3 linked regions of the Stegostoma tigrinum genome follow. The protein of the gene in region 2 purifies or fractionates together with the protein of the main gene of each other region. This does not show direct contact. Links are inferred from orthologs where the notes say so. Each region holds a gene or a part of one and is shown on either strand. Other genes may lie near its edges. The genes, in order: TRAF family member-associated NF-kappa-B activator-like, tnip2 and map3k8.

Region 1 (11,029 bases), on a different chromosome or scaffold from region 2:
GAGCTCTGGAAGGAGATTGAAGCTTTATCAGAGTCTAAAAGAAAGTGTTGGTCAACCATGTTGAAATGAAAATATTTAAAGAAAGCATTTTGGACTCAAGAAGCAGAACTCGGCAGAGTGTAAGTAGTTAAACACAAAATACATGCAGTAAAACACCAACTATTCTCTAAGTAGCCAGGTGAGGAGGGAGTGGGCTTGATGGTGCTTGTCAATGGGAATAGTGGAGCTGGGGTGAATGGAGGGGCTGGTGCTGGGTTTGAAAAGTGTAGAGCCAGAAAGGCTGGAATTCAGGGGATGCAGATCCAGTGGTAGCAGCAGGGAACTGGGATGGTGCAAGGGAGGGGAGCTAGGGGTACCAGAGTGGGTGGCAGACACGAGCTGGGTTTGCTGAGGAAGAAGGAGCGGATCTGAAGGGCTGGGTCTGCATTGTACTTGAGGGAACAGGACCTGGGGCTGCTGGGGAAGTGAGGAGGAAGAATGGAGTACGTTGCTAACGAGACCAGAGACGGGCTGCCAGGGAGTGTGAGGCCATGTACTAGATGGGGCAAGGTGCACTGGACGGAGCAGCACCAGGTGTTGATGTTGACAGGGCATAGTAACAGGTGTAGGGCTGGTTGCAGTTGGGACACTGGTATAGAGCAGAACCAGGGTGTTGGACAAGTGAGCAGAACCAGTGATGTATGTGGGAGAGGTCAGTGCAGGGGAGTGTGTGGGGAAAGTGGGCATGAGAGTCCAAGTGTGTAGTAAAACTATAAGTCTTCAGAGACAGATGGAGTATTGGTAGAGGAGGTGTCATGAGTTGCAGATGTCATAAAGTCATACAGCATGGAAACAGGCCCTTTGGTCCAACTAGACCATGCAGAACATAATACCAAACTAAACTAGTCCAACCTGCCTGCACTTGGCCCATAACCCACCAAACCTTTCCTATTCATATGTTCCTCTAAATGTCTTTTAAACATTGTAATTTTACCCACATCCACCTATTGTTCAGCAAGTTCATTCTGCACGCGAACCACCTTCTGTGGAAAAAATTTGTCTGTTATGTCTTTTTTAAATCTCTCTTTTCTCACCTTAAAACTGTGCCCCTAGTCCTAAAATTCCCCGTCTTAGGGAGAAGACAAATATCATCAACTCTATCTATACCTCTCATTATTTTATAAACTTTTATCAGGTCACCTCTCAACCTCCAACATTCCAGTGGAAAAAGTCCCAGCCTATCCAGTCTTTCCTTATAACTCAAACCCTCCATATCCAGCAACATCTTGCTAAATCTGTCCTGAACCCTCTCTAGCTTGGATAATATCCGCCCTATAACTGGATGACTAGAAGTGGATACAGCATTCCAGAAGAGGCCTCACCAATGTCCTGTACAACCTCAACATAATGTCCCAATTCCCGTACTCTAAGGACTGAGCAATGAAGGCAAGCATGCCAAATGCCTTTTCAGTCAACCTTCCCAAGTGATGCAAACTTTAAAGAATTATGTACCTTCACTCTGTTCCATAGCACTACTAAAGGCCCTACCAGTAATTGTGTAAGCCCCATTGATAAAGTAGACGTACAGAGAGTGTTTTCTTTCATGGGGCAGTCTAGAACAAGAAATCATAGTTTTCTGATAAGGGGTAGCATTGGAAAGACCATGAAAGACCTGGGTTCTCCCAGGACAAGTCTGAGTTGAGAACCACCATCACCGTCAGAAGATGTCAAGATCATCACTGGATCATGATTGTGAACGGATCTTGAAGGGTCATTGGTTGAGCTAGGCTGAAATTGGCGCATCTTTATGCTGGCTTCAGCAGCAGAGTTTCGGGGCTATGGCTTCTGCTAGTGCCCGCACGTCAGCCTAGGCAATTAGTGATACAGTCAGGGTGATTGTGAAGACGGTGGAGGAAAGGTCGCCGGTCAACCGGACCTTCTATGTGAAGAGACTTCTCCAGGATTGCTGCAGGATCCAAGCAGCAGATATTTTTTGTGAGTTTACAAGATCCTGTCCAAGAATTCTTGAAAAATTACTTCTGCGCATCTTGTGGATGGTGTATGTTGTCGCAATTGTGTGCCATTGGCGAATGCTCAAGATGGTGGATTGGGTGTCAAATTAACTGCTGAATTATTTGTTTTATTCATTTATGAGATGTGGCTGTTGCAGTTGGGCCAGCATTTATTGCCTATCCCTAATTACCCAAAGTCAGTTAAAAGACACCGTATTCTTGTGGCTGTGGAGTCACATGTAGGCCAGACCAGGTAAGGATGGAGGTTTCCCCTCCAAAAGGGCATTTGTGAACCAGGTGTGTTTTTCCCAACGTCAACAATGGATTCACAGTCATCACTACATTCATAATTCCAGATCTTTATTGAATTCAAATTCCACCGTCTTGTGTGGCAGGATTTGAAGCCAGGTCCCCAGAACATGAAACAAAAACAGAAATTTCTGGAAGAGCTCAGCAGGCCTAGCAGATCTGTGAAGAGAAATCAGAGAGAAATCAGGGTGGCATGGTGGCTCAGTGATGCTTCACAGCACCAGGGACCCAGGTTTGATTCCCACCTCGGGTGACTATCTCTGTAGAGTTTGCACGTTCTCCCCTCGTCTGCATGGGTTTCCTCCAGGTGCTTGGGTTTCCTCCCCCAGTCCAAAGATGTGCAGGGTAGGTGGATTGGCCATGCTAAATTGCCCATAGTGTTCAGGGATATGTCAGGTAGATGGAATGGCCATGCTAAAATTGCCTATATTTTTCAGGAATGTGTAGATTAAGGGGATGGGTCTGGGTTGGATTCTCTGAGGGTTGGTATGGACTTGTTGGGCCAAAGGGCCTGTTCCCACACAGTAGGGATTCTACAAAAAGCTGATGTTTTGGCTCCAGTTCTGAGGAAGAGTCACTGCACCTGAAATATTAACATTGATATCTCTCCACAGATGCTGCCAGACCCGCTGAGCTTTTCCAGCAATTTCTGATTTTGTTTCTGATTTAACGCATCCACACTTCTATTGATTTTTATTTCCCCAGAGGCCATTGCCTCCCCCTCAAAGTTTCTTGGATGTTTTTTGAGCTGCACTCAAGTGAAGCACATTTGAGCATATTTTAAGCTTGTGCTTCATAAATGGCAGGCAGGCTTTGGGGAGTCAACAGGTACGTTTCTTACTGTAGAATTTCAAGCCAACACCTACTTTGATACCAAAGTATTTGTGTGGCTAGTCCAGTTAAGGCTTTAGTTGATGGTTAACATCCTGGATATTGATTGTAAATGGCATGGAACATAAATAGGAGATGACTGAATTCTCTCCAGCTGGAGACTGTCATTGGCTGATAATTGTACACTATAAATGTTGCTTACCACTTTTAACTCAAGCCTGAATATTGCTTAGATCTTGCTGCTTCAGTATCAGAAAAGTTATGAATTACACTGAACAACATGCAAGCAACAGCAAACGTGCCCACCTTATGATGGAAGGCATTTTATTAATAAAACACTCGGGTAGAGAGAATCATTTTCAACATTACCTAGTGTGAGGGTAAGAAAGATGACACTTAATTTTGGGTGAATGGAGTTAAGATGGAAGGAGGTGAGTCTCAGATGAGATGAGATCAGGAGATAAACTTGAGAAGAGTGTTGCTGTGGTTGGTGGGGATTTCTTAATTCCAATTAAGTCCTTGAACCCCTCACTGCTGTTAAAAATGAGGAAAAAGGGAAATAGTTGAAGTTATACAAGAAACTGTGACTGCATGTAATTAGTGAAGGACAATAACTATTGTTTTTATCTAACTTACTGCCAGACATTTTAACAATCTGAGATAATAAAATGTGAGGCTGGATGAACACAGCAGGCCAAGCAGCATCTCAGGAGCACAAAAGCTGACGTTTCGGGCCTAGACCCTTCATCAGAGAGGGGGATGGGGGGAGGGAACTGGAATAAATAGGGAGAGAGGGGGAGGCGGACCGAAGATGGAGAGTAAAGAAGATAGGTGGAGAGGGTGTAGGTGGGGAGGTAGGGAGGGGATAGGTCAGTCCAGGGAAGACGGACAGGTCAAGGAGGTGGGATGAGGTTAGTAGGTAGGTGGGGGTGCGGCTTGGGGTGGGAGGAAGGGATGGGTGAGAGGAAGAACCGGTTAGGGAGGCAGAGACAGGTTGGACTGGTTTTGGGATGCAGTGGGTGGGGGGGAAGAGCTGGGCTGGTTGTGTGGTGCAGTGGGGGGAGGGGATGAACTGGGCTGGTTTAGGGATGCAGTGGGGGAAGGGGAGATTTTGAAACTGGTGAAGTCCACATTGATACCATATGGCTGCAGGGTTCCCAGGCGGAATATGAGTTGCTGTTCCTGCAACCTTCGGGTGGCATCATTGTGGCAGTGCAGGAGGCCCATGATGGACATGTCATCAAGAGAATGGGAGGGGGAGTGGAAATGGTTTGCGACTGGGAGGTGCAGTTGTTTGTTGCGAACTGAGCGGAGGTGTTCTGCAAAGCGGTCCCCAAGCCTCCGCTTGGTTTCCCCAATGTAGAGGAAGCCGCACCGGGTACAGTGGATGCAGTATACCACATTGGCAGATGTGCAGGTGAACCTCTGCTTAATGTGGAATGTCATCTTGGGGCCTGGGATGGGGGTGAGGGAGGAGGTGTGGGGACAAGTGGGGACAAGACACACTTGTCCCCACACCTCCTCCCTCACCCCCATCCCAGGCCCCAAGATGACATTCCACATTAAGCAGAGGTTCACCTGCACATCTGCCAATGTGGTATACTGCATCCACTGTACCCGGTGCGGCTTCCTCTACATTGGGGAAACCAAGCGGAGGCTTGGGGACCGCTTTGCAGAACACCTCCGCTCAGTTCGCAACAAACAACTGCACCTCCCAGTCGCGAACCATTTCCACTCCCCCTCCCATTCTCTTGATGACATGTCCATCATGGGCCTCCTGCACTGCCACAATGATGCCACCCGAAGGTTGCAGGAACAGCAACTCATATTCCGCCTGGGAACCCTGCAGCCATATGGTATCAATGTGGACTTCACCAGTTTCAAAATCTCCCCTTCCCCCACTGCATCCCTAAACCAGCCCAGTTCATCCCCTCCCCCCACTGCACCACACAACCAGCCCAGCTCTTCCCCCCCACCCACTGCATCCCAAAACCAGTCCAACCTGTCTCTGCCTCCCTAACCGGTTCTTCCTCTCACCCATCCCTTCCTCCCACCCCAAGCCGCACCCCCAGCTACCTACTAACCTCATCCCACCTCCTTGACCTGTCCGTCTTCCCTGGACTGACCTATCCCCTCCCTACCTCCCCACCTACACCCTCTCCACCTATCTTCTTTACTCTCCATCTTCGGTCCGCCTCCCCCTCTCTCCCTATTTATTCCAGTTCCCTCCCCCCATCCCCCTCTCTGATGAAGGGTCTAGGCCCGAAACGTCAGCTTTTGTGCTCCTGAGATGCTGCTTGGCCTGCTGTGTTCATCCAGCCTCACATTTTATTATCTTGGAATCTCCAGCATCTGCAGTTCCCATTATCTCTGATACCATTTTAACAATCTGGCTACTTTTATAGCCTCCTGCAGTGCCACAAGGATGCCACCCGAAGGTTGCAGGAACAGCAACTCATATTCCGCTTGGGAACCCTGCAGCCTAGTGGTATCAAGGTGGACTTCACCAGCTTCAAATGCATCCCAAAACCAGCCCAGTTCGTCCCCTCCCCCCACTGCATCACACAACCAGCCCAGCTCATACCCTCCATCCACTGCATCCCAACACCAGCTCAGCCTGTCTCTGCCTCCCTAATCTGTTCTTCCTCTCACCCATCCCTTCCTCCCACCTCAAGCCACACCTCCATTTCCTACCTACTGACCTCATCCGACCTCCTTGACCTGTCCGTCTTCCCTGGACCGACCTATCCCCTCCCTACCTCCCCACCTATGCTCTCCTCTCCACCTATCTTCTTTTCTCTCCATCTTTGGTCCGCCTCCCCCTCTCTCCCTATTTATTTCAGAACCCTCTCCCCATCCCCCTCTCTGATGAAGGGTTTAGGCTGGAAATGTCAACTTTTGTGCTCCTGAGATGCTGCTTGGCGTGCTGTGTTCATCCAGCTCTACACTTTGTTATCTTGGATTCTCCAGCATCTGCAGTTCCCATTATCTCTGGCTACTTTTATATATTGGCAGTGTGTTTTTGGGAAGGGATTTAATTTCATAGCATCATTACCAGATTATAGTGTACTTCTGGAGTAAGGCCCAACATTGTTTATCAGTGTAAAGCTTGATCTCAGGGGAAAGTCCTATCTCAGGATTTAAACAAGTTTGAGGTTAAGCAGCTACACACACATTCTAGTTTTAATCTTAGATTCTTGTGGGCACTTGATAAAGCAATTTGTTCCACTGGGGATGGCAGCACCCATGGAAAAAGGTGCAAAAGTGGTTAGGTCTCAGCATCAGACAAAAATCTGTTAAAATTAGCAGTGAAACAGTGGAGTCAGTCACGTCGGTTGTACTTCACGATAGTATGCTCATTTCCAAGTGTGGCTTTTTCAAAAAAACGCTATTTTAGTGGCTGTCTGCCTCTCTTCCAGGGAAATGGTTGTGCTTTTGGAGAAGGTAATCCACTTGGTGCTGATGCTTTCCATTATCAGTGGGCACAGCAGAGTGTGGGTACAGAGATCAATAAAAAAAGTTATGATTTCATTGAGAAGTGATTCATTTGTTTTCGTGATTATTTCGTCCTCATTTAGTCTGTCCTAGTGCTGTCGGGCCCAGGCAAGGCCAGGCCCCCATACCTCCCCGGGCTTGATTTAGAGAGTGCGGGTTATGAAGATGTACAGACGGGGCAGTTGTGCTTCCTTCCCCCTCGGTTTATGACGGGCTACCGGAGGGAGGGAGGGAGTGAGGAAGACGGAAGTCAGGCGGCGCTGAGGACGGGGATTCCCCGCCGGGAACTTCCGAGCTCTCCGTCTCGAGCGCAGCGCCGGACCGCAGCCAATGAGCGGAGCCGGTTTAAATTAACAACGGCCGAGGGAGCAGCGCGGTGGGGCTTCGGCTTGATCGGTGAGTCCGGGCCTCCATCACCGCACTTCAGGATTCATGATGCGACTGTGCTGGGGGGTGGGAAAGGCATCCCAGGCCTGGGGCTCTCAAGGAGGCCGTTGCCTTAAATGTCACTGATGTCTCAGGTGATTGCTGCTGAGGCCTACTGACAGCCTTTGGTCCCCACCAGCACTCATGTCCATTCGTGTTTCAGCGTAACTGATCAGTCAAAGTGCAGCTCCCTGCCGAGCCTCCAGTTTATTGGCTCTCGTTTGATTTGCCTGAAACTTAAGTTAAGCAAACTCTTGCATTTGCCACTTCGAGTAATCTTGCGTTTGTCATTTTGTTTTAAAAGTGAAAGTGCTCACACAAAACTAAAGTGTATGGACATCTTATCGTCACATGTTTCACAGGCACTTCCTTGGAGGTGATACAGGTTGTGAGTTACTGTAGGTGAAGCTTTGGGAATGACTTACATGTGTCTTAGATTAGATTCCCTACAGTGTGGACACAGGCCCTTCGGCCCAACAAGTCTACACCACCCTTTGGAGCATCCCACCCAACCCATCCCCCTATATCCCACACACCCCTGAACACTATGGGCAATTGAGCATGGCTGATCCACCTAACCTGCACATCTTTGGAGATAATGGGAACTGCAGATCCTCTGATGAAGGGTCTAGGCCCGGGGCATCAGCTTTTGTGCTCCTGAGATGCTGCTTGGCCTGCTGTGTTCATCCACCCTCACATTTTATTATCCTGCACATCTTTGGACTGTGGGAGAAAACCATAGCACCCAGAGGAAACCCATGCAGACACAGGGAGAATGAGCAAACTCCACACAGACAGTCACCTGTGGCTGGGATCGAACCCAGGTCCCTGGTGCTGTGCTAACCACTGACCCACCATGCCGCACCTCTTGTAGCTGCTGAACAGCCAAGGTAGAATCATGGAATCCCAACAGTTTTAGAAGATGGATAGTGTGCCAATGAAGTGAGCTGTTTTGATATGAAGGGTGTTTTATTTTTGGGCTTTTTTGTTTTGAAGCTATGCTCAACCAGGCATGTAAAAGGTATTCTTTTCTTTGTTTAACAGAGTGAGTCATAGAATCCCTATGGTGCCAAAAGAGGCTTTTTGGCCCATCTAATCTGTACTGACTTTCCAAAGACCATCCCACCTAATCCCATCAAACCTATATTTACCATGGCTGACCCACCATCACTTACATAGAGTCATACAACATAGAAACAGGCCCTTTGGTCCAACCAGCCCTTGTTGAACGTAATCATAAACTAAACTTGACCCACCTGCCTGATCAGTTAGGAATGAGTCCAGGGTGTGCACCCTACTGCGAGACTTCCAAGCCCAGAAGGTGCCCTGGATTCAGTCAGGGCAGACACCAGGTCATGTCACTTTGTAGAATAGGGTTGTGACTGCACCGGAACAATACCCTGCTGGGGGTCTGGCCTGTTTACCGAAGGGAGTGAATCCTGGATGTGTGAGGAAACCAGAGCACCCAGCAGAAACCCATGCAGACCTGGCAAGAAAATACTAACTCCACACAGACAATCGCCCAGGGCTCAACCTGGATCCCTGGTGCTTTGAAGCAGCAGTGCTAATCACTGTGCCATTGTGCTGCCCCCTAAAGAAGAGAGAACAGTGTGGGTGTGCGCGCGCGAGTGGATTTTCAAAATAGTCAAGCTACTATCTTCAGAAATTAAAAGTAGGAAAAGCTGGAAATAACAGTTTGTGGATAGGGAATACGGAGTTACCCGGGTTGATCACCTGATGTATTAACTTTGTTTCTTTGCTCATATGCTTATATTAGAAGTTTATTGTTTGGAATATGTACTTCTTCAGCAATGAACGGCTGATGTGTCTCCTCGGTTATATGTGTTTTGGGTCCAAGGAAAGTTGAATTGACTTGAGATTGCATGGGTAACTGTAGCACAGTGAAGCATAGTTCAGACTGGACAAACATTTTTAATCTGTGAAATTTGACTGTGCAGTTAACTCTGCTAATGTCTAAAATCTGTTTTGCTTCTTGGGTAATTTGCATTGTGCTTCATTCATGTAGAGAACTCTAATCTATAGTCAGAGAGATATGGAGCTTTTAGTACAATTTCAGGGTATCCAGGGCTGGTACTGTATGACTCTGAGCAAGAACATCAGAAAGAATAAGCAAGAGTAAGCCATTCAGTGCCTTGACCCTGCTGCGTCATTCCAGATCATCTACCTCTATACTATTTCTCCTCCCTTCCTCCTTGTCCTCATATCCCTTGGATTTAGAAATATAACAATCTCTGTTTTGAATATACTTTGTGACTGAAAATTCTTTCTCATTTCCTGACCTGCTGCATTGCATCTTTTTTATGATGCTTTCTGAAAATTCATACATCACATTCACTGGTTCTCCCCTTTATCCATTTTGCTAGTAACATGGTCAAAAAACAGGTTTGTCAAGCGTAATTCCCTTCAATGAATCTTTGACATTGGCCAATCAGATCATTATTTTCTAAATGTCTAGCTTTTTTCATAATAGATTCTAGTAACTTTTCTACTAACATTAAGTTAATAGGATGGCAGTTCTGCACTTTATCCCTCCTGCCTACATTAAGTAGTCATATTACATTTGCAGGCACCATTCCAGAATATCTAGAGATTTGTGAAATGATCACCAGTGAGCGCACAATGTGCACAGCCACCTATCATCAGGCCCAATGCGTTTGTCAATGTTCAGTCCTGTTAATGTGTCCAGTACCACTTTGTTAACTTGCATTTTTTTTCAGTTCCTCATTTTTGCTAGTCCATTGAATCTTTATTTCTGGTAGGTTTCATGTGTCTTCTGTCATGAAAACTGGCACCAAGTAATCATTTGGCTTCTCTGTCATTTCCCTATTTCTCTATTATAAATTGTGTTTAAAGGAGCCACTGTTTCTTTTTACTTTTTTTTCCTTTACATTGCTGAAGGAGCTTTTCCTGTCTGTTTAAATATTTCTTGCTAGTTTACATTCACGTTATTTTCTTCTTTTATCAGTTGATCCTCCTTATGTTCTAAAATACCCCTAATGATAGGTTCATTACCTTTTTATGCAGTTTTATATATCACCTGCTTTGATCAAGTGGAAACTTTAACTTCCTTTGTCAGTCAAGATCTACTCACACCATTTTGGGTTTTTTACTACCTTACAGAGATGTATCTTTGTTGAAAACCATGTGTTAATTTTTGTTTTTGCAAATGAGCCACCAAACCTTTTTCTGGGTGACAGCCAGTGACTCAATGGGTACTTTGGGGATCAGAATTTGTACCCCAGCTAGTCACAATATACACATGAATGATTTAAATGAGGAAATTAAATGTAGTGTTTCTACATCTGCAAATGGCACAAATTTGAATAGGAAGCTGAACTGTGAGAAAAATGCAGAGATGCCTTCAGTGTGATTTGAACAAGTTGACTGAGTAAGGAAATGTATGACAGATGAAGTATTATGTACATAAACGTACATAAATACTTTGAGCAAAAATAGGATGGCACATTATTATCTGACTGGTGATAGATTAGATCAGGAAAGGGTGTGGTGCAACGAGACCTGGATGTCCTGTACACCAGTTGCTGAAAGTTAGCACACAAATGGTATGTTGGCCTTCACCATAGGAAGATTTGAGTACAGAAGTAGGGATGTTTTGTGGTTGCACAGGGTCTTGGTGAGACCACGTTGAGAATATTATGTACAGTTTTTGTCTCAATATCTGATCAAAGTTATTTTGGCTAGAAAGTGAGTGTTGTAAAAGTTCACCAAACTGATTCTTGGGATGCAGAACTTTCATATGAAGAGAGGTTGGTTCAGTTAGGACTATATTCACTGCAGTTTAGAAAAATGAGGGGGAACCTCATAGCAACTTTTTAAATTCTAACAGGATTTGGATGTGAACATAGGAGGTATAGTTAGTAAGTTTGCACTTGACACAAAATTGATGATGTAGTTGACAGTGAAGAAGAAGTTTACTTCAGAGTACAACAGGATCT
Region 2 (10,570 bases):
GATAATTCTTTAATCTCTGCAAAGTCTGTGTGGTAGTTGGCAACTTTCTCTGCATTTTGATTATGGTTTTCACAACTGTTTTAGCATAACAACTTTCACCAGCCAGTATTCTCAACTTGATTATTACTGAAAAGAGAGACACATTGCTGAACCAAACATCTAATCAGGACAAACACAAGAATGGCAACTTTTAAACAATCACAACAATTTACACTCTAGGGAAAAAGATGCTGAATGGTTGGCAAATCTGGTTAGCTGAGGCATTAGCAAGTGAAAACTGTAGGATGTGACAGGCTGCTTAACAAATTTCGACATGAGGGAATGTTACTATTGTGATATTTATAATAATAAAAAACAAATTTGATAGGGTCACTGAAAAAACAGAGGAATGAAGGAACAAAGGGCCATAATCTTAAAATTAGAACCAGATAATTTAGGAGGGAAATTGCACTGAGGATAGAGAATCTCTGGGCTCTTCACTCCAAAACAGCTGTTCATGTTCCATGGGAACGAATCCAAACTCTCAAGACTGAAAGTTCGATTTTGATTCAGGAAGGGATGTGGAGCAAAAGCAGATCAATTGGACAGAGATATAGATCAGCTACTGTGATGTAATGAAGTAGGCCTAAGGGGCTAAACAGATACCTCCTGTTCCTTGCTTGTATAGTTTTTTATTCTCTGAGATATTTTCAGGATCTAAGGATTCCTGGAGAATTACCAGCAGTGTCTCTGCAGCTACTTCCCTTAACATCCTAAAACGTGACACATCAGATCCATGAGATATAATAGTAGTTTCCCTTGTATGTATTCTCTAGTGATAACCATTGTGTTTATTTCCTTGCTTATTTTCTGTTTGATGATTCAATATCGTTTGGAATGTTACTAGTGTATTCTACAGTAATGACTGATGCAAAGTACTTATTCATTGCTTCAGTCATTTTCCTATTCTTCAATATTATTTTCCCAGCCTCATTCTCTAAGGGGCCTGTGTTCGCTTTGGCCTCTCTGTTCCTTTTTATATATTTAAAGAAGCTGTTGCTGCCTGTTGTGTTATTACTTGCAAGTTTACTCTCAAAGTTTATTTTCTCCCTCTTTATTATTTTTTTCTTTTGTTGCTTTTTAAAACTTTCCCAATCTTCTGGATTACCACTAATCTTTGCTATGCTGTTTTATGCTATCCCTAACTATCCTTAATCATGTTTAGTTTATCCCTTTTCTACAATCATTCATTCTCACTGGGATAAATCTTTGTTGTGAGCCATTAACTATTTTCTTAAATGTCTGCCATTTGGCTTTCCTACAAAACATAAAGATTTATCCCTGTGAGAAAGAAGAATTGTCGGAAGGGGATAAACTTGGGGGAAGCACAGTGGCTCAGTGGTTAGCACTGCTGCCTCACAGCGCCAGGGACCCGGGCTCATTTCCTGCCTCGGTGACTGTCTGTGTGGAGTTTGCACATTCTCCCCGTGTCTGTGTAGGTTTCCTCCAGATGCTCCAGTTTCCTCCCACAGTCCAAAGATGTGCAGGGTAGGTGGATTGGCCATGCTAAATTATCCATTGTGCCCAGGCACGTTTAGGTTAGGTGGGTTAGACATGGGAAATGCAGGGATAAGGGAGTGGGCCTGGGTGGGATGATCTTCAGAGGGGCAGTGTGGATTTGTTGGGCCAAATGGCCTGTTTAGACACTGTAGGGATTCTATGAAAACTCCTTCCCCAGTACACTCCAAATAGCTTTGCCTTCATTGCTTTGTAATTATTTTAGGTTTAACACAGTTGTTTCCGATCCAGGTTACTGAGTCCCAAACTGAACGTGGAATGCCCTGCCTGCCAATGTAGTTAACTCAGCCACATTTGGGGCATTTAAACAATCCTTGGATAAGCATATGGATGATGGTGGGATAGTGTAGGGGGATGGGCTTAGATTAGTTCACAGGTCGGCGCAACATCGAGGGCCGAAGGGCCTGCTCTGCACTGTGTTGTTCTATGTTCTATGTTCTATGAACGTTAAATGCTACCATGTTATGGTCAATGTTGCCTAAGGGAATCTTTCAACATTGAGATAATTTATTAAAGGTTGTTGACTTGCTCGCAGAGCTGGCTTGTTTTCATTCAGACATTTCATCGCCATGCTCGGTAACATCATCAGTGAGGCCTCCAATGAAGTGATGTTGTTCTACTCCGCCATCTGGTCATTATGGTGAGTACTGTCATTTCCTGTTTTGATCTGTATGGGTTTGTAAAAGGGATCCAATTTTGTATGTTTGTTAATTGCATTATGGGTTGACAACCATGCTTCTAGAAATTCCTGTACACGTCTATGTTTGGCTTGGGCTACTACAGTTACCTTGTCCCAGTTAAACTGATGGCCTTCGTTGTCCGAGTGTGCCGATTTTAAGGAAAGTTCATGGTGTCATTTTGCTGCTAGTTGATGTTTGTATATTCTGATGGCTGCGTTGGTTCTGCATGTTTGGGAACACTCACAAGGATTAAAGACCCCACTCCCACAACATGCAGAACCAACACAGTTTACAAATTTCCATGCAAGGGCTGCCACAAAAATTACATCAGACAGACAGAAAGGAAACTAGCCATCAGAATACACAAAAATCAACTAGTAGCAAAACAGCATGTCTATTTCTCCTTAATATCAGCACAATTGGACAACGAAGGCCATCAGTTCAACTGGGACAACGTAACTGTAGTAGCCCAAGCCAAACAAAGACACGCACAGGAATTTATAGAGGCATGGTTCTCCACCCGTAATGTAATCAACAACCATATAAAATTGGACCCCATATACAAACCCATACAGATCAAAACCAAACATTCAGCAAGCAAATAGAATTGGATGCCATATACAAATCCATACAGATCAGAACTGGGAATAACATTACTCGCCATAATGGACCAGGCAGTATAAATTCCAAATGGAGTAGAATAACATAGCTTCATCAGAGACTCCACTATTGATATCACCGACCGTGGTGATGAAATGTCTGAATGAGAACAAGCCAGCTTGGTGAGCAAGTCAACAACCTCACCCACAACCCGAGCTACAGATCTTGGCTAAAACCTTAAATAATTTATTAAACTTGCTTTCTTGTACTGGTTAAGATGTTTCTTCTTCTGCACCCGCAAATCGTGTCTCACTAACTTAACTGAGTTTTTTGAAGAAGTAACAAAGAAGATTGATGAGGACAGAGCAGTGGATTTAATCTAGATGGACTTCAGTAAGGCATTCACAAGGTTTCTCATGGTAGACCGGTCAGCAAGGTTAAATCACATGGAATACAGGGAAAACTAGCCATTTGGAAACGAACGTAGGAGACAGAGGGTGGAGATGGAGGATTGCTTTTCACACTGGAGACCGGTGTGCCACAAGGATCAGTGCTGGGTGCATTGCTTTCGTCAGTTGTACAAATGATTTAGATGTGAACATAGCAGGTATGGTTAGTAAGTTTGCAGACGACACCAAAATTGGAGGTGTAGTGGACAGTGAAGAATGTTACCTCAGAGTACAACAGGATCATGATCAGATGGGCCACTGAGGAGTGCGAGATGGAGTTTAATTTAGATAAATGTGAAGTGCTGCATTTTGGAAAGGTCAGTCAGGGCAGGATTTTTATACTTAATGGTAAGGTCCTGGGGACTGTGGCCAAACAAGGAGACCTTGGAGTGCAGGTTCATAGTTCCTTGGAAGTGTAGTCGCAGGTAGACAAGGTAGTGAAGAAGGCATTTGGTGTGCTTATCTTTATTGGTCAGTGCATTGAGCATAGAAGTTGGGAAGTCATGTTGCGGCTGTACAGGACATTGGTTAGGTCACTTTTGGAAAACTGTGTGCAATTCTGGTCTCTCTGTTATAGGAAGGATGTTGTGAAACTTGAAAATGTTCAGAAAGGATTTATAAGGAGAGTGCCAGGGTTGGAGGGTTTGAGTTATAGGGAGAAGCTGAATAAGGCTGGGGCTGTTTTCCCTGGAGCGTTGGAGGCTGAGGGGTGACCTTATAGAGGTCTATAAATCATGAGGGACAGAGGCAGGGTAAATAGACAAGGATCTGAAGAAGAGTCTAGGCCTGAAATGTCAGCCTTCCTGCTCTTCTGAGGCGGCTTCGCCCGCTGTATTCATCCAGCTCTACACCTTGTTATCTTAAATAGACAAGTTCTTTTCCCTGGGGTGGGAGAATCCAAAACTGGACGACATAAGTTTAAGGTGAGAGGGGAAAGATTTAAAAAGGACCTAAAGGGCAACTTTTTCAGGCACAAGGTGGTGCATGTATGGAACAAGCTACTAGAGGAAGTGTTGGAGGCTGGTACAATTACAACAATTAAAAGGCAACTGGATGGGTACGTGAAGAGGAAGGGTTTAGACGGATATGGGCCAAATGTTGCCCACAAATCTGCACCAATGATTTGCAAAGCCAAGATACCTGCTGAGATGGCATCCTAAACTAGAGGAGAAAGTAGGAGTTAGTCCCCAAACGATCCAAAAAGATTTACAGGAGAAAGTGCCTTTTTCAAAGTGGTCTGTGTCAGGGTTTGAAAGGGTTAATTGTCCCTAATGTCTTAAGCACCATCCACTATGATGATATCATAGGGACTTGGTGGGAGGGTAAATTTGGATAGTCCTTCCTCAATCTGTTCCTGCAGAAGCCACACCCAGCCTTGAAATTTGATCTGATCCCACAGTGTGAACTGTGAGAGTTGAGTGGTAGATCAGAAGTGAGGGGGTGTTCCTGTCAGACTGGGAGCACAGCTGGTAATAACTCAGTCAGGGCTCCACTGTGACCACTGCTGCCTCACAGTTCAGGATGACAACATTTCAGTTCTGACCCCACTTGAGCTTTCGATCCACCCCACCTTGCAAAGCCCAAGTTTAGGATTGTGAACAGCAAATGGCCAACAATCTAGGTCCTCCTTAATCTCAATCTAGACAGTTTCTAATCCATGCTGGAGCAAATGGGACTAAACTCAGGCCTCCCGGTTCAGAGGTAGAGTCATTGCCACTGTACCAAATGAGCCCATACTCTCAGTCTATTCCATCAGTTGCTATCATTAGAATAACCAACATCTTAATAAAAACAAAAGCCCTTTCTTGTTAAACTATCAAATCTGTTTTTCTCCAGCACACCAAACCAAGAAGGCCCTATCAGGAGAGAGAATAGTGGATGCTAGCTCACGATGGGCAGGACGGACGAATCATTATACAGCAGCAATGAAAAGGTCACAGATCCATTGACACAGATACTGCCTACATGATTTGCTCTTTCAGCATTTTTTGTTTATCTTTCACTACCACAAGGAGTTAAGGCCAAGAACATTTCAGGGGAAGCTTAATAAACACACCGCTGGAGAGAGAATGTGGTGAGACTTGTCCCTCATTGGGAAGTGTCAACAGGATCTATATCTGTGGTCTAAATTCTATTCAACAATCGTATCCGAACTCCCCACAGGGAGTTATCATTTGTCATTTGTCAGTGAAGGATCGGTGATGTATCACTTCCTGGAATTGATTGATGAAAAAAAACCCACACAAATAATTCTAACGTGTAGTTTTGAAAAACCTTTTTCGGCCGGTAGCTTCATTTACAAAACTTCCTTGCTGACAAACAGCCCGCTCACCATCCCACCTTGCCTTTTTCCTGGGAGAATCAGTGCCAATTGCTTTCTCTCGCCTTTCACATTCACATGAAACTGTAACTAAATTAGGAGAAATAACATGAAGCGGATGTTGCTGTAACAGGCAGCACACGCCCACTGGGCGAAGGAGTGTTGTGTAACGAATGTGACATGTGTACGGTTAACTTTGAGAGGGGAGGGGGAGGTCGAAGAAAAAGATCAGATTTTAAAGGTTGTAAACCCCTCATTTAAAGCAAAAGGGTAAATCCGAGCAGGAAGCGTCAGAACGTCACAAAACGTCCATCAACCGAGTTAGTTCCGGCTAGTCAGACACGTGTTAATGTTTAAAAAAAAAGTAGACCTGCTCCTGTGTTTTTTTGTTACGAGTGGTTTTCTTGGAGCTTTCAACTAGCAAATGGTAATTGGAACCAGACGGACACAGGCAAGTGAGCGGAGTAGAATCGGCCCCTTATTTTTCAAAAGAGAGAAAAGTACGAAAAAAAATCCAGAGAAGGAGGGGGATCCCCCGGGGAGGAAATTCCCGAGCTGCTGGATGGAAATACGCCGATTACGAAATGACATGGAGGGAACGGAATGGATACAGTCAGTCACTGCCCCTAGGACAAGGTTTAATCTCTTCATATTTACTATCTGCCTGTCGGAGTGAACGCTCCAGAGAATCCACATTTAGCTACAGTGTCTCCCATTAATTAGCTTTCAATGCTACTCAGAAAGTACGGACAATTTGTGCTAATTACTGCATTTTTAACATTGTCCGCAACCTCTGAATCAAAATTGAGACAGTAATCTATATATATATATTTAGAGACCGAGGGTCGACTTTTTTGGCAACTTTTTTTAACAATTTGACACAGCACACAATGTCTTCGTTTAGATATCTCTTTTTCTAAAAACTTATAAGAATTTCGAGAAGAAAATCCCGACTGATTGCTTCCCCCCCTTCCCGAGTCGGGGGAGGTCGCATTCAGAACAGCATTTATATACAATGTCTGTGGACGGCGATGAGAATGCGGAGCAGCAAAAGGACAGCCGGCTTCCGAAGGCCAGGCTAAAAAGCTACAACACCATCACCACTTTCTACCACGAAACCCTGCAGGAAGTGGGCCGCCTGAGTCGGGAGCTCACCCTGAAGGACGGCCTGGTCAAAGACCTGCAGGCTCGCCTGGCCGCCTACGAGGGCAGCATCGCGGTCGGTTTCGGCCAGGAGCCCGGGGTCAGCTTTGGTCCGTCCGGCTCCCTTGTGGACTGTCTGCTGCAAGAGGTGGGTAAAGTCAAAAAGGAGCTGGCGGATTCAGCAAGGATTTGGCAGCAAGAGAACACCAAGCTGAAAGAGGTAAGGGGCAAAAACATCTATCTGTAAAGATGTGTCTAGTATTTTTGGAAAAATAATAAAAATCTTCCTGTGGCATAGTGAAAATATATAATCCAGGTTAATTCACAAGTGAGTAAAACCTGCTGGGGTAAGGAATTCCCTTTTGTTCAGAATCAGTAGATGCTGACTTTTATCAGAATGGTTCTAGGAATGAGGAGTTTTGGTTTTGAAGATAGTTTGGAGATTTTGGGATTCATGTCCTTTCAGAGAAGATTAAGTGGATATTTAATTGATATTAATTTGTTTCATGGCTTATTCAAAATCAGGAGGTCTGGACAGAGTAAATTGTAAATGTTCCCACTTATGAAATGATGGAGGAATGAAAGGGCACAGATTTTAAAGTAATTGGCAAAAGCATTGAGGAAACTTTTTTTTAAATTGAGCATTTAAGGTCTAGAATGAATTGCTGGAGAACATGGTGGAGGCAGGATCAATTGAAGCATTCAAAAGGGATGTGAACTTACCTGAAACGGAAGAAAATGCAGAGTTATGTGAACATGTTGGAGAATATTATTAAATGAATTTCTCCTTTAGAAAGCTTGCACAGGCACAGTGACCTGAATGGCCGCCTCCTGTGCTTGTAACAACTTGTGTCGAAGGGATGTCGCACAAAGTTAAAACAACTGATCTGGATGAACTGTATTTTTGGATGTCTTTTAACAAAAATAATCAACTGAAGCCTGCCTAAGCTGATTGTGTGGGTTCTGATACACAGCATTGGTCTCAGTTGACGTAACAGTGTAACTTCCCTCCTTCGGAGGCCGGGAGTCCAGACAGCTAGTGACCCACCTTGAAATCGTCTTTAGATTTCAGGCACCCTCAAATGCATACGGGAGGATAAGATCTGATTCAACTAATACCCTTGAGGAAAGGAAAACAGCCCCTCGGGCTTACCTGTATGACTCCAGTTCTGCCCAATAATGGTCATGGTGGCAAGTCACTCAGTTGTATCAAATCTCTCCCAAGAGGTCCAGAAGAGTCACTATTACTTTCTTATTAAAGATGGCCAATAAGTGGTAACTTTGCCCTGGGGACCACAGCCCAATGAGGGAGAAACAAAGAATACATTTTTTTTAAGGAGTAAAAATTACATTTTTCTTCTTTTCCTAAATGTCAGCCACATTAAAAGGAATGCTTTTTTTATGAGAAAATTAGAGAAACACATTGTCTTTGTAATACCTTGTCCCAGAGTATTTCTAGGTAATAAAGTACTTTTGAAGTGCCATCACTGTCGCAATTTAGGCTCAAGTTCCCAAAAACAGCAGGTAATAAAGATCAGAATCTGTTACAGTAATATTGGCTGAGGGATAAGTACACTGCGGAGAATACCTCTGCACTTCCACAAAACTGTAGTGTGCTATCACCTGAGAGGGCCCGCAGAGCCTTATCCAAAAGACAGTGTCTCTGATAGTGCAGCACTAGGAGTGTCAATCTAGATAGTCAGAAATTGCATGACACCAGGTTTTAGCCCAACAAGTTTATTCAAAACCAAAGCTTTTGGCGTCTCGCTCCATCTTCAGGTGTTAGTGAGAGAGGTGGTATCACTATCTCTTACTAACACCTGAAGAAGCACTGAGGCTCTGAAAGCTTGTGTTTTCAAATAAACCCGATTTTGACTGAGGGATAAATATTGTGCAGGTCACCAGGGGAGACTCCTGTACTCTTCCTTGATTAGGGGGCCATTGAATCTTTATGTCAATCCCAGCTGAAAGAAGTCACCTTCATTCTGACACTGGGGATGTCAGAGCTTAGATTTTGCGTTGCTGTAGGAATTGAACCTGCAGCTTTCTGAACCAGAGATGAAAGTATGATCCACTGAATCACGTCTGACCAATCATCTTGCTGTTGGCCAGACATTTGGTTTTCCTGTTTTTCCATTTCTGAAGCTAGAAGCCTCCAACCTTAAAATTCCTAACTTCTGCATTTACTCCATGAAGTCCTCTCTTCCTCATGACTCCACTGTTGTCCACCCAACTGATTCACAGCACCCTTTGTGTTCCTAGAATGTCTGACATCCATTCACAACAACACATCTCTGTAATATTGATTTTTTTTTCAGGATGTCAGTATCGCTGGCAAAGACATTGTTTTAGTGACTGTCCCAAGTTACTCAGAGAAGGTGGAGCTGGCCCACTGTTACGATATCAATGGTGGTTTGATACAGTAGAGTGACTGCTTGGCAATTGAGTAATTAAGAGCAAAGCATGTTGGTCATTCTTCCAATAGATATGATATGATATGAAAATACTCAATGTGGTCCTTTTGAACTGAGAACAGAGAAGAACGTCAACATAGTATGAGAGGCTGCGACTGATAATTTTGAGATCAAATTTCAGCAAGAAAGTGGGGAATTTAAACTAACTTGATAACATAAATCTGGCATCAATTTGCATCTGTAAGTGCAAACACAAAATTACTGGATTTTTCTGTTTACAAGTTTCCTATAAGGAAGGAAATCTGTCCTTGCCCAGTCTGGTCTCCATGTAACTCCTGATCAACAGCAAAGTGATGGAGTCTCAATGGCCCGAGCAAGTCACTTCCCCCAAGATAGGGATGAGCAATGAGTGCTGGCCTTTCCAGCAATGCCCGCATATCCTTGATTTGAATAACCAAATACTTGTGAATTTGTGCGTCCAAAATTGATTTGTGTCAGCAGAGGTTCTGCTTCTTCCAGAATCACTCTGTGACTGCCATAATTATGAACTTCCCCCTTCTGCGTGATCTCTTTTATCCCACCCACGTGTAAATCAAACTGATCTATTAATACCATGTAAGTTTCAGTCCCTGGGGTAAAGCAGCTATGGCTACAGAGAAATTTGAGAGATTATGCAGGAAACTCAGTGGCACTTTGAGGACTCTGTATTCAAAGTCGACTAACTCAGGTGATCTGAAAGGTTTCTTTGAAAAAACCCACTTCTTTACTTATGGATTAGTGAGAATGTGGAACTTGCTGTCAGAAGAATTGATTGACTTGAGAAGCATCAATGCATTTAAGGGGAAGCCACATAAACACTTGAAGAAGAAGAGATTCAAAGGACGTGTTGATGGGGTTAGAAGATAACGGTTCATGTTGTATGAGCTCTGGTGCACACCAAATGGCCTTCGTTAACACAGTACAGTTTCTATTTGTTTGCATTGTTCAATTTGAATGATAGGATGATTTAGGTATTCCATGGGGGCGGGGTGGGGGGGAGGGCGGAGGATCTTTCAACACAGTAGCCTGTACTGGTTACTTTGCCCACGGGTAGCTCCCTCACTTTTCAGCCAGGAGGCTATGGCTACAAGTTCCACTTCCAAACTCGAACAATACATTTTGGTTGTTGTTCTGTCGCAGTCTTGAGGGGGCTGTTGCACTTTGAGGTACCACCTTTTGGGTAGGATATTAAACCAGGACTGTCCTCTGATGGATACAGAGATCACGTTGTACTATTCTGACAAAAAGGAGGTTCCTGGTTATCCAATATTTATCTCTCTATCAACTGCTCTTTTTGGGAGCTGGCAATGTATAAATTGGCTCTTCTTGCCTACAAAACAATATTGAGTAGAAATATAGAAAATGGGA
Region 3 (11,087 bases), on a different chromosome or scaffold from region 2:
TGATTATATGTGTATATGTAAATCCCCAGATTTCTTTCAAGTCACTGCCCTGAGAGAACTAAAGGTGTTATTTGTGTAAAAAAGAGGTGATATTTTAGATCAGACAATGCATGTTAGGTGTGAGGCCTTGTTTAGAATCTGTTTGTGTTTTGTTTTGGAGTCAGACTGGTTTTATTTCTAAAGAAGGAATTTATAAAATGCCATGTTATCTGACTATGTATAAATTGTATGCTTTTTGGACAAAATAGAATGTATTTGCAAATACAAATTCACCCTATAGATGATTTGTGTGTGTGTGTGTATGCGCGTGTGTATGCGCGTGAGAGAGAGAGAGAGAGAGAGTTTGTGCACCTGTATGGGGGAGAGAGAGAGTGTGTGTACGGTGGGGGGGGGAGAGACAGTGTGTGTGTGTGTGTACTTGTGGGAAGGAGAGTGTGTGTGTGTGTGTGTGTGTGTGTGTGTACCTGTGTGAGAGAAAGAGAGAATATCACAGACACACCGTCTCTCACACATACACATGCATATTTTCTCTCTTTCCCACACATACACACTATACTCTCCTCTCCACCTATCTTCTCCTCTATCCATCTTTGGTCAACCTCCCCCTCTCTCCCTATTGATTTCAGAACCCTGTCTCCATCCCCCTCTCTGATGAAGGGTCTAGGCCTGAAACGTCAGCTTTTGTGCTCCTGAGATGCTGCTTGGCCTGCTGTGTTCATCCAGCTTCACACTTTGTTATCTTGGATACTCCAGCATTTGCAGTTCCCATCATCTCTGATCACAATTTAAAGACAGCCAGTCAATGTGGCATTTTATAAATTCCTACTTTAGAAATTAAACCTGTCTGAATCTAAACCATAACAAACAGATTCTAAACAAGGCCTCACACCTAACATACATTGTCTGACCTAAAATGTCACCTCTTCTTTACACTGATAACACCTTTAGTTCTTTCAGAGCAGTGACTTGAAAGAAATTCAGGGATTTACGTGTACATTTTAATCAATTAAAACCTTCTGACTGATGAAAGATTTAACAGCCTCTTAGGTTTGTTTAATACATCCTCATATTTTACTCTTGATCTTTTACTCATAAATTCGGTGTGTTCTGTGTGCTGATTTCTCACTTCACCTAATGAAGGGGTTATGCTCTGAAAGCTTGTGTTTTCAAATAAACCCCTTGAAGGAGGCTCTGGAGGCAGTTCAGAGGAGGTTCTCTCTGATTTCAGAGATAAAGGGTTTTCTTATGAAGAGAAACTGAGCAATTTATATCTATACACTGTAGAGTTTAGAAGAATGAGAGGAGATTTGATGAGGAAAATATAAGTTTTAAAGGGAATTGACAAAGTAGGAGTCGAGCGGGTGTTCCTCTAGAACAAGAGGTCACAGTTTTAGGATAAGGGCAAACAGATTTAAAGCAGAGATGAAAAGGAATTACTTCACTCAAGGGGTTATGAAACAGTGTTGGTCTCCTTATCTAAGGAAAAATATACTGGCATTGGACACTGACCAAAGAGGGTTCCTTGGATTGATCCCAGGTACGAAGGGATTTTTCATATGAGAAGTTGAGTAAGTTGGGCCTGTACTCATTGGAGTTTAGAAGAATGAGAGGCAACCTTGTTCAAATATTTTAGTTTCTTAGATTCAAAGAATCTTAGTATGCTTGAAAGGTAGATGTGGAGAGATTATTGTACAGGGGACATAATCTCAGAGGAAGTGTTCACTGATCTAAGACAGAAATGAAGAGGAATATCTTAGAGAGTAGTGAATCTGCTGAATTCTTTACCAAAGACAGCTGTTAAAGCTGGATCACCAAGAATATTCAAGGCTGATAATACAGATTTTTAGTTAGTAAAGGAATCAAGTGGCATAGGGAAAAGGCAAGAAAGGGGATTGGCCATGATCTAAACTGGGGAGGTAATGGAGAAATACAGCAGGCCAGGCAGCATCAGAGGAGCAGGAAAGTCAATGTTTCAGGTTGGGACCCTTCACCAGGAGTTGAGTCCTGATGAAGGGTCCAGACCTGAAAGTCGACTTTCTTGCTCCTTTGATGCTGCCTGACCTGTGTTCCTCTAGCCTCACATTGTATTGACTCTGACTCCAGCATCTGCAGTTCTTGCTGTCTCCTGCGAGGTAATAATCTAACTGTAATATCACTGGGCCAGTCATTGAAGGACCCTGAATAATGTTATGGGGGCATGATCTCAATCTCCCTGTGTGTTAGAGCAATGTTTTAGCCTTTACTGCTCGGGTTGGAGTTTAAAAATAAGTAAGTCCTATTACAACTGTACAGGGTATTGAAGAAGCTGCACCTTATGTACTGCATACAGTTTTGGCCCCCATATTTAGACAAGGATATACTGGCATCGGAGACAGTTCAAAAAGAGATTAACAAGGCTGATTTCTAGGATGAAGGGGTTTGGCTTACTAAGAAGATCTAAATAGCTTAGGCCTTAATTCATTTAAGTTTCAAAGAATTAGGAATTAATTAGATTGAATATATAAGATGCCAAGGGGGTTCAACAAAGTAGATTTTGATGTTTCCAGTTGTAGGGTAATCTTGAATTAGGAGATATAGTTACTGAATAAGGGATACTAAAACCAAAGAAATTTCTTTCCTCAAAGGGAGTAAATGGCTGAAGTTTTGTACCCTAGAGAGTGTGGAGGATGGATCACTGAAAGATCTTTAAAATATGAAGGAATTGACAACCTTGAGGAGTTGGCACAAAAGAGAATTTCAGGCCTTGGACAGATAAACCATATTCTTATTGAATGGTGGGACAGGCTTGAGGAGCCAAATGGCCTACTCCTGCTGCTATTTTTGTTCTTATTGGCATGCTCCTACATTTTTTAATCTGATTTGGCAGCATCTGCAGGAAAGGAAACAAAGCTAATATTTCAGGTTAATGATCTTTCATCAGAACTGGGGTTAACTTTGCTTATCTGCACAAATGCTATATTTCAAGCATTCTCTGTTTTTATTTCTGTTTTCCAGCCTTGTGTTTTCCTTGAGCAAGCTATTAGACTAAGTGACTATTCACCCCAATTCTTCTGGTGTTCTCTAAAGTTCCCTGGTCCTTGAATACTCTTATCCTGGAGACAGAAGATGCTGGAGAAACTCAGTAGGTCTGATAGCATCTGTGCAAGGAAGCAGAATTAATGTTCAAATCCAATGTGATTTCTTCAGAACAAAGTTCTGATGACTTTCTCCAGCATGTCTGCTTTTGGTGAATTTTCACTGAGAACATGAGCTGGCCTTGAGTCAAGTATAATGGTGCTGAAGTTCTTGCCATATGCAGAATAGCTGCCAAGTTTCCCTTCCCACATCACAGCCTAAGCAATTAATTGCAGTGCTGGAGACAATCGTAGAGACCTGTGTAAACCAAATTCTTCCAATCCTGGTATTCTGCCAATCTATTCACAGGTGCATCTCTGTGTTACAGTTTTACAAACACAAATGTTAATAGATCATAATATAAACTCAGTGGCTTAGTAATTGAAAGCCAAATTGAAACACTTCCAAAAATACGAAGAGTATTTGAGTCTGTGTCTGTTGTTTAAAAGGGTGAGTTATTAAATCTCCCTCATATATCTATTCTTCTCACAAGTAAAATATATTTTTCTATGTGGCGATGTCAAGAATCAGTATCACGCAGTTTCTAAAGCAAAGAATGATCCAGATTCAGATAGCTAAATTTTGAAAAGGAAAACGTATCTTCTGTCGATGGAAAAAACTGACTGTGCGTAACATTGACGTACTTCGGACAGTCTCCTGTCACATAAAGGACCAGTGAATGACCGCGCCACAAAACAGGAAGCGACTTCTTGGTAATGGAGATTACATTTTTAAGGTATATCATCTTCTAAAGAGATGATCGGCGACCCACGTTTTGAAACAGGTACAAAGCCAGTGCTAATCGTGTCCGGCATGTCAACACCCACAGCCCTGAGTATGTGGCACCATTACACCAACACTGCAGTCAATTAAGTAAAAACAATCTTTTACTTTATTATTCGGGTCGATCAGAGCCAAAATACTGTCTTCAAAGTACGGAAAATGTCAAAATGAAGCGCGAAAGTATTTAGAACAAAAATCTTAGTGATAATCACACTCAATGTTAGGTTTAAAATTTTGATGATCGGTATTTTATGACTAAGACATTGCAAAAATACTATTCTTGAAAATAAAATGCAGGCGTGCCCGTTCAACACTAAATGGAGTCAGTCTCACTTGCTGACTGAACCTGATAAGAGAAACTCTTAGACCAGGTCACGAAGAATGTTAGCGAAATTGACAGCGACTCAAGGGTTAAAACCGAAGAATGGATAACCGATATGATAAACAGGCTGGTGATGCGGTAAAGGGTAGCCTTCCATGAACTGTGGAGGACGTGTGCGCCGGAGGAATTCCCCAGTCATTGCTACTGTGAGGGCTACATGGCGCCAAGTAGTGCGCACTTGTATTTTCATTTTCTTTTCCGGTTGGGTATCGTGCATTCAATCGGAAGATGTTTTTACCCCTCACGGTTAAGTCTATTTTCGTCAACATGGGGATTTTATTATCGCGTTTACCCCAATGACATGGTGGGGAGGTGCTGTGACTGGTGGTAGAGTGAAGGATTTAGAGTGAAGGATTGGGTTTGTTCATTAATGGACAGTTAGCAACTCCCATTTTTGTAATATCCTGTTGTAGATGTCAGCTCTTTTCGGGTTAATAGCTGCAGTATGGTCCGAAGCATTTCCCCCCAGAACGTATATGTATTTTCATTGTTCGAAATAGTGTCCTAGGCTAAACCAATATTGTCTCATCGAACCCCCCCCCCCCCCCCCCCGCCATCAATATTATCATCATCAGAATGTGAATGTTCATTGGTTGCATTGTTCAATTCTGTTTGCAATTCCTCACAATAAGACTGCACTCAGTTTTGGTCTGACAATATCATACAAGTCCTAGGCACTGTACGTCTCCAACAGAAAGATTTCAACCACCACCCCGAACACTCAATGGCATTACCATTGTCAACTGCTGCACCATCAGCAAAAAAAACTCTTTAGATTAATACAGCGCAAATAAAAGGACAGAATCCAGAGGATTACCACTGATTTGAAACTGAAAGTGATCGGCCACATGCGTGCTGTGGTTACCAGAGCTGGTCAGAAGCTGGAAAGTCTGTGGAAGCAAGTGGTCTCCTGATTGCTACCCACCACGATAAGGCAGAAGGCAGGTTGATAGAATACTCTGCACTTTTCCTGCACTGGTGTAGCTCCAACAGCACTGATGAAGCCCAGCCATCTAGGACAAAGCCGCCCGCTTGATTGGTACCTCATCCTCTACCATCTTAAACATTCATTACCTCCAACAAAGTGTGTACCATCTACAATGTTCACTGCAACAGCTCAGTGTCTCTGTGGCAGCATCTTCAAAACTCACATCAGGAAGGACAAGGATAGTGTGTGCATAGCAACACCACCACCTACAAGATCCCTCTAAGCTTCACAGCATCCTAGAACTATATTGTGGTTCTTTCATTGTCACTGGATCAAAAACTTGGAGTGCCCTCTTTAAGAGCAAACTGTAGCAACACTGGATGGAGTCAGTGGGTGAAGCAGGTGGCTCACCACCACCTTCTCACGTATGAGCAATACATCCAACTGAAGTATGCTGAAGACTGAATTTTTAAACATGCACAAGTGATAATAAAAGCAAAATATTGTGGGTGCTAGAAATCTGAAACAAACTGAAAATGCTGGAGAAACTCAGCAAGTCTGGTAGTATCTGCGGAGAGAAATGCATAAGTGAACCTGTTTGTATCTTGTTATAAAGCAAATACTTGTGGACGCTGGAATCTGAAACAACAACAACTTTTCGGGGGGGGGGGTGGGAAAACTCATCTTTCTCCTTTTATCGGTGTGAGCCTCTAGCTGACCGCCCCTGCTGCGCAGCTATATTTTACGTAGAATATTACTTATTATTTACAGCATAGTAATAGGACATTCGATACAACTCCATGCCAGCAGCCTTACTTCATCTCATAAAGAAATACCTGCATTTAAATGAGGGCTGTTATTGGTAATACACCGTCGTAGAGTTATCACGGCACAGACATAGTAATGCTGTGTAATCCTGTCGAATCTGGGGCAACCCCGTCTAGGTTGTGTCCCGCCCCCTTGAGCTTGCCGCCCACTCACTCGGTTGTCAATGGCTCCGTGTACTGAAAGCTGAGCTCCACCCTTCTCACTGAAGCTGGGGAATCTCTGCTCGGTATCACATGCTTGGCAGTAGAGCTAGAGCGGGATCATGGCAGCAGTGAGACGCCGCCGCTGTTGCTGGTGTGTCTCTGCTGTGATGAGGTGCTGATGCTTTCTGCTGCATCTGTTTTGTCAGGGCAGACTGTAGTGATCGAAAGAGAAAGGCAATGGAGTACATGCTGACCCAAAGTATCGATAACGCCAGGTTGGAATTGCTGCTGGAGCTAGATGTGATGGATTACCTCGAGGCATTTTACCCCTTGGAGGACACAGCACTCTACCAGGACAATATGCTTTCGCTGGAGCAGCACTCGGATGAAGGAGTGCCAGAGAATAGGGCCAGGGACGGTCAACAGCCGACCTTCTACTCTGTCAGATATGGCACAGTGGAAGATTTACTTAACTTTGCAAATCAGGTGTCTAATACGTTCCGCAATTACCCCCAACGCTTCCGAAACCGCGAGACAGGAGTAATATTAAACAAGGTGAGCGAGGAATGTTTTGTGTACATGCAAGAGGTTGTTTAGAATACAGTAGTTTCTACTGTGTCGCCTTTTAAAAATCGCTTTTCAAATAGACTTGTGTTCCATGATTTTGTAGCGTCTCTTGAGATGGAAATTGGTCCAAAATGGATCCAAATCTTTTTGAATATACTGGATATTGACAGATAAGAATCTTGAATTTATATAGCGCCTTTCACTATCTCAGGGCGTCGCGAGTTGTTTTACAATTTATGAAGTACTATTGTAGTGCGGTCGCTGTTATAATTTAAACAGCCAGAAGCCTGTCTAATTTGCCTGAAGAAATTCTATAACAACTTGTTTAATATCAACTGAAACCATGAAGTGCAGCAAATTAGTTTTTCTTTTATTCCGTGCGCTCGGAAACAAGGTTCTTTACTTCATTTTTAAAATGCTAACGTGATCTAACTAGAACAGGTTGGGAACTGCAAATGTGATGTTAAAGAACTATGAGCAATTCCAGAGTAACAAATTGCAGGTCACCTGCGGCAAACAATTCTGTGCATAACAAGGTGTCACAAACAGTCATGCTTTTTTTTGGAAATGATATTAGTTTAGGCTGAGGACACTGGGAGAATTATCTTTGCTCTTTTACACATACTGCTAAGGGATCTTTAGCGTTTGCCAGAGAGGACAGATGAGGCATTAGTTCAGTATCACATCTGAAATACAGCATTTTATGGAGCTGTAGAGTCATACAGCATAGACATGGGCATTTCAGTCCTACTTGTCTTTGCCAACTAAATTTCCCAAACTAAACAATCCCACTTGCCTGCTTTTGGCCCATATTCTTCTAAACCTTTTTCCAGTTCATGTACCTGTCCAAATGTCTTTTAAATGTTATAACTGTACCTGCATCTACCATTTTGTCAGGTAGTTCATTCTGCATATGAATCACCTTGCATGTGAAAAAGTTTTCCCACAGGGCCATTTTAAATCTTTCTCCTCTCGCCCTAAAAAAATGCCTTGAGTTTAGATCTCCCCTACTGTAGTGAAAAGACCTTTGCTATTTACTGTATCTCTGCCCCTCATGATTTCACAGTGTTGCAATGTGTGACTGCTAGATTTCTGATGAATGGAAAATATTCTGCAGCACAACCTAGTTTTAAACTATTTTTAAATCCACCACAAGTGCTATTTGTGTGCAGATGTGCGTTTACCATTTACAGTAGGCCTATTTTCCTCAAATTGCCATTGTGGGAGGAAAAGTTAAACAAATATTCTTATTGCAGTTTCTTTTAGTGGCTTTCTATTTATTCCACAGAAGGATATAGTTATTAAAAATGGACATTATCAGATTGATTCAGAAGTCTTCCTGTTTCCATGGAAGTTTGCCCATAGGAACATTGGTCCTGGTTACATTCCTCGAGGTACTTTTGGAAAGTGCCACCTTGCACAGGACAGAGAAACAAAGAAGCGGATGGCATGTAAATTAGTAAGTCACTTAGCATTTTGTGAATACACTCTTTTACCTACTGAAAGATATTTTCAAAGCATATATCTTTATTGTTGAAACTTTACAAAGTTGTATAAGAATATAATAATTTTAGTAAGTAAAAATGTGAATTACCTTAACAAAACCAACACATTTTGAGTAATCTTAATTCTTCAACTTAATCTGTCTTGAAAAGCACATCTAGATCTCTCAGACCCATTTTATTTATATTGTTCACTTTAATGCCGCCTTCTTGTAATTTGCATGACAACTCTTTGCCAAGAAGTGGTTCCATGTGACTTCCCTTTTTATTCCTAACTTCCTAATTTTAGTTTGAGACTCCTGGTATTTGAGTCCAACAGCACAAGTAGAAATGTACTCCTTCAATCAGTACTTTTTTTGTTATTTCCTTTTGTAATCTTCAAAATTTCAATGAATAAAGGCATTTCAATGAAATAAAAATTTGACAGCATTTTTTTAAAGATGTGCACTCCATCCTGGTCCATTATGTCATTCACTGCAGCCAAGCAATCCAATGTACCTGGGCACAAACACAGGAAAGTTACCCCTGCAACTGCAATGCTTATTTTATTTGGGTGAAAGAAGTTCCTATAATTTGTATTTAAAATTGACTTTCCTATATGTTGAAAACTGTGGTTTTATAGTTAACAAACTGACTGGTTTCATTTATTTTGCTCTGCAATTCTTTTTTCCCCAACAAGCCATATTTTGTAAATATAAAAATGTATAAAACTAATAACCCCAATAGTGTCATGACCTTTATCTGATGATTTAGTGATCTAGAAAGTAAGTATATTTGCAAATGTCTTAAATGAGTTCTCCAAACATTTGCACATTGCATTTAATGAAAGCGTTAAAATGGCAAACCCAAGTTTTTTTTTTGGTTAAGATGTGTTTGGAGCACACAGCAGCAGGAGGAGTAATCACACCAAAGATGTTCATGAAGCAGATTCCCACTTTCAAATATGCTGTCAGAGGAAATGAAATCAAAAGCCAAGTGTTTCTTTTAATTTGACAGGAAATAAGTTTACAGGGTGGAGAGGAAATCATGTCCCACCATTTTCACTTGTCTCTCTGGATTTAAACAAGGGGTGACGTGGTACAAGTAAATCCGACCATAGCCCTACTGGACCATATGGCTCCTGTGTCATTAGAGAGGTTTAACCTGAGGATCGCCACGCATCAGGTGGGGGGAGAAGTTCAGAAGGACAGCACTTCATTGATAACCTCAGCTGATGTGGGAATTGAGCTCACACCACTGTGCGTCACGTGCTTGCCATCCAGCCAACTGAGCAATCTGACAACCATTGCAGCTGTGCTTGTAGCTTGGCCAGTAGGTGGCCAAGGGAAAGCTAAAATGTGCAATGGTAAACCATCAATAAGTGGAAAACAAAAAGGGTGAGAGGTGAAGGAGAAAAAGATTTTCTTGAAAATGTAAGTTGAAAGTTAAGTGATTTTAGCGTATCCTTACCTTTTCGGGGTTCTCCACATTGCTATGTGGGTGTGTGCATTATATGTTGCATTCCTGAGCTGGACAAATGACAATAAACTGAATGTTGCTACTGGTTTGTTCTGAATTAATTAATACAATGCCAGAAGTTAGTACAACTGGCCTTAGTATCACTGGGCTAATAATAGGAAAGGCTGACCATGATTCCAACTCTCATAGTGTGAAGGTGTTTAGATGCTAACTGAGGACTGTATCAGGCTGTCTAAGTGATTAAATAACCTCCTGAAGTTTACAGTCTACACTTAGACTACTGTGAACATTTTGGTCCTCTGATTTATGGAATGATATATTAGCACTGAAAGCAGTTCACTAGGTTTACTACAGGTGTGGAGTAAATTTCATATGAGTAGAATGAACCTGTAATCAGTGGAGTTTAGAAGAATTACCTGATTAAATTATAAAATATTCTTTGGCATTCACCCTGTTAAACCTCCCCTATGTAGGGGAGTCTAGGACCAGAGACTCAAAGTGAGGGGTCACACGGTTAAGACAGAGCTGAGGGGGAATTTCTTCTCCCTATAAGTAGTGAATCTCTGGAATGCCTTATCTCACAGTCTGTGGGTCTGTGTAATTATATATGTTCAAGGCTGAGAGATTTTTAATCAATAAGGGAATCAATGATCGTGGAAAAGGCAGGAAGGTGGAGTTGAGAATTATCAGTTCAACTATGATTTCATTGGTGAAGGTGACACAGTAGGCTGAATGGCCTATTTCAGCCCTTTGTATTTTGATATTATTCTCACACCATGAATGACCATTTAGGGGACGCAATATTTCAGCTTGGATTATTGCCAGTGGGACAGGGGACAAGGGAATTGATGAAATAAATGTGCTCTTTTTCTTATATAATCGACGTTTTGTTTCAAATTCAAGATACCAGTGGAATTTTTTAAGCCTGCTGATATACAAATACAAGCACAATTTCGCCATGAGAACATTGCAGAATTATATGGTGCCTTACTGTGGAATGAAACCATACATCTCTTCATGGAGGCAGGAGAAGGAGGTTCCGTTGCAGAAAAATTAGAAAGTTGTGGGCCAATGAAAGAATTTGAAATCATTTGGTTGACCAAACATGTCCTCAAAGCACTTGACTTCCTGCATTCCAAAAATGTCATACATCATGACATTAAACGTAAGTTTTTGTTTAGCCCTTCCTATGACTTTTCTTGTGTAACAGCAATTTAATAAAAAAGCCTATACTGCAAAAGCAGACATTAGAACGACTTGTTCATTTGTCTTATTATTCATGTTTTCACAGCCAGTAATATAGTTCTCATGTCAACCAAGGCAGTGCTGGTAGATTTTGGTCTTTCTGTCCAGATGACTGAAGAAACCTACATTCCCAGAGA

Evidence for each region.
Region 1: the proteins of tnip2 (region 2) and TRAF family member-associated NF-kappa-B activator-like purify together in Homo sapiens (affinity purification with mass spectrometry; 3 studies listed by BioGRID and IntAct, with this or other methods). This does not show direct contact. The link is inferred for Stegostoma tigrinum from reciprocal best matches to the Homo sapiens genes TNIP2 and TANK.
Region 3: the proteins of tnip2 (region 2) and map3k8 purify together in Homo sapiens (affinity purification with mass spectrometry; 3 studies listed by BioGRID and IntAct, with this or other methods). This does not show direct contact. The link is inferred for Stegostoma tigrinum from reciprocal best matches to the Homo sapiens genes TNIP2 and MAP3K8.

What each region holds. Positions count from the first base shown.
Region 1 is NC_081360.1:59,987,087-59,998,115, forward strand, and holds the start of TRAF family member-associated NF-kappa-B activator-like, read left to right. Parts: upstream 1-6,538; 5' UTR 6,539-6,575; intron 6,576-6,788; exon of another isoform or gene 6,789-7,022; intron 7,023-7,085; exon of another isoform or gene 7,086-7,147; intron 7,148-11,029.
Region 2 is NC_081356.1:130,374,017-130,384,586, forward strand, and holds the start of tnip2 (TNFAIP3-interacting protein 2), read left to right. Parts: upstream 1-5,800; 5' UTR 5,801-6,621; coding exon 6,622-6,969; intron 6,970-10,570. UniProt on the Homo sapiens protein: Inhibits NF-kappa-B activation by blocking the interaction of RIPK1 with its downstream effector NEMO/IKBKG.
Region 3 is NC_081355.1:126,052,286-126,063,372, reverse strand, and holds the start of map3k8 (mitogen-activated protein kinase kinase kinase 8), read left to right. Parts: upstream 1-6,289; 5' UTR 6,290-6,415; coding exon 6,416-6,733; intron 6,734-8,033; coding exon 8,034-8,204; intron 8,205-10,608; coding exon 10,609-10,870; intron 10,871-10,996; coding exon 10,997-11,087.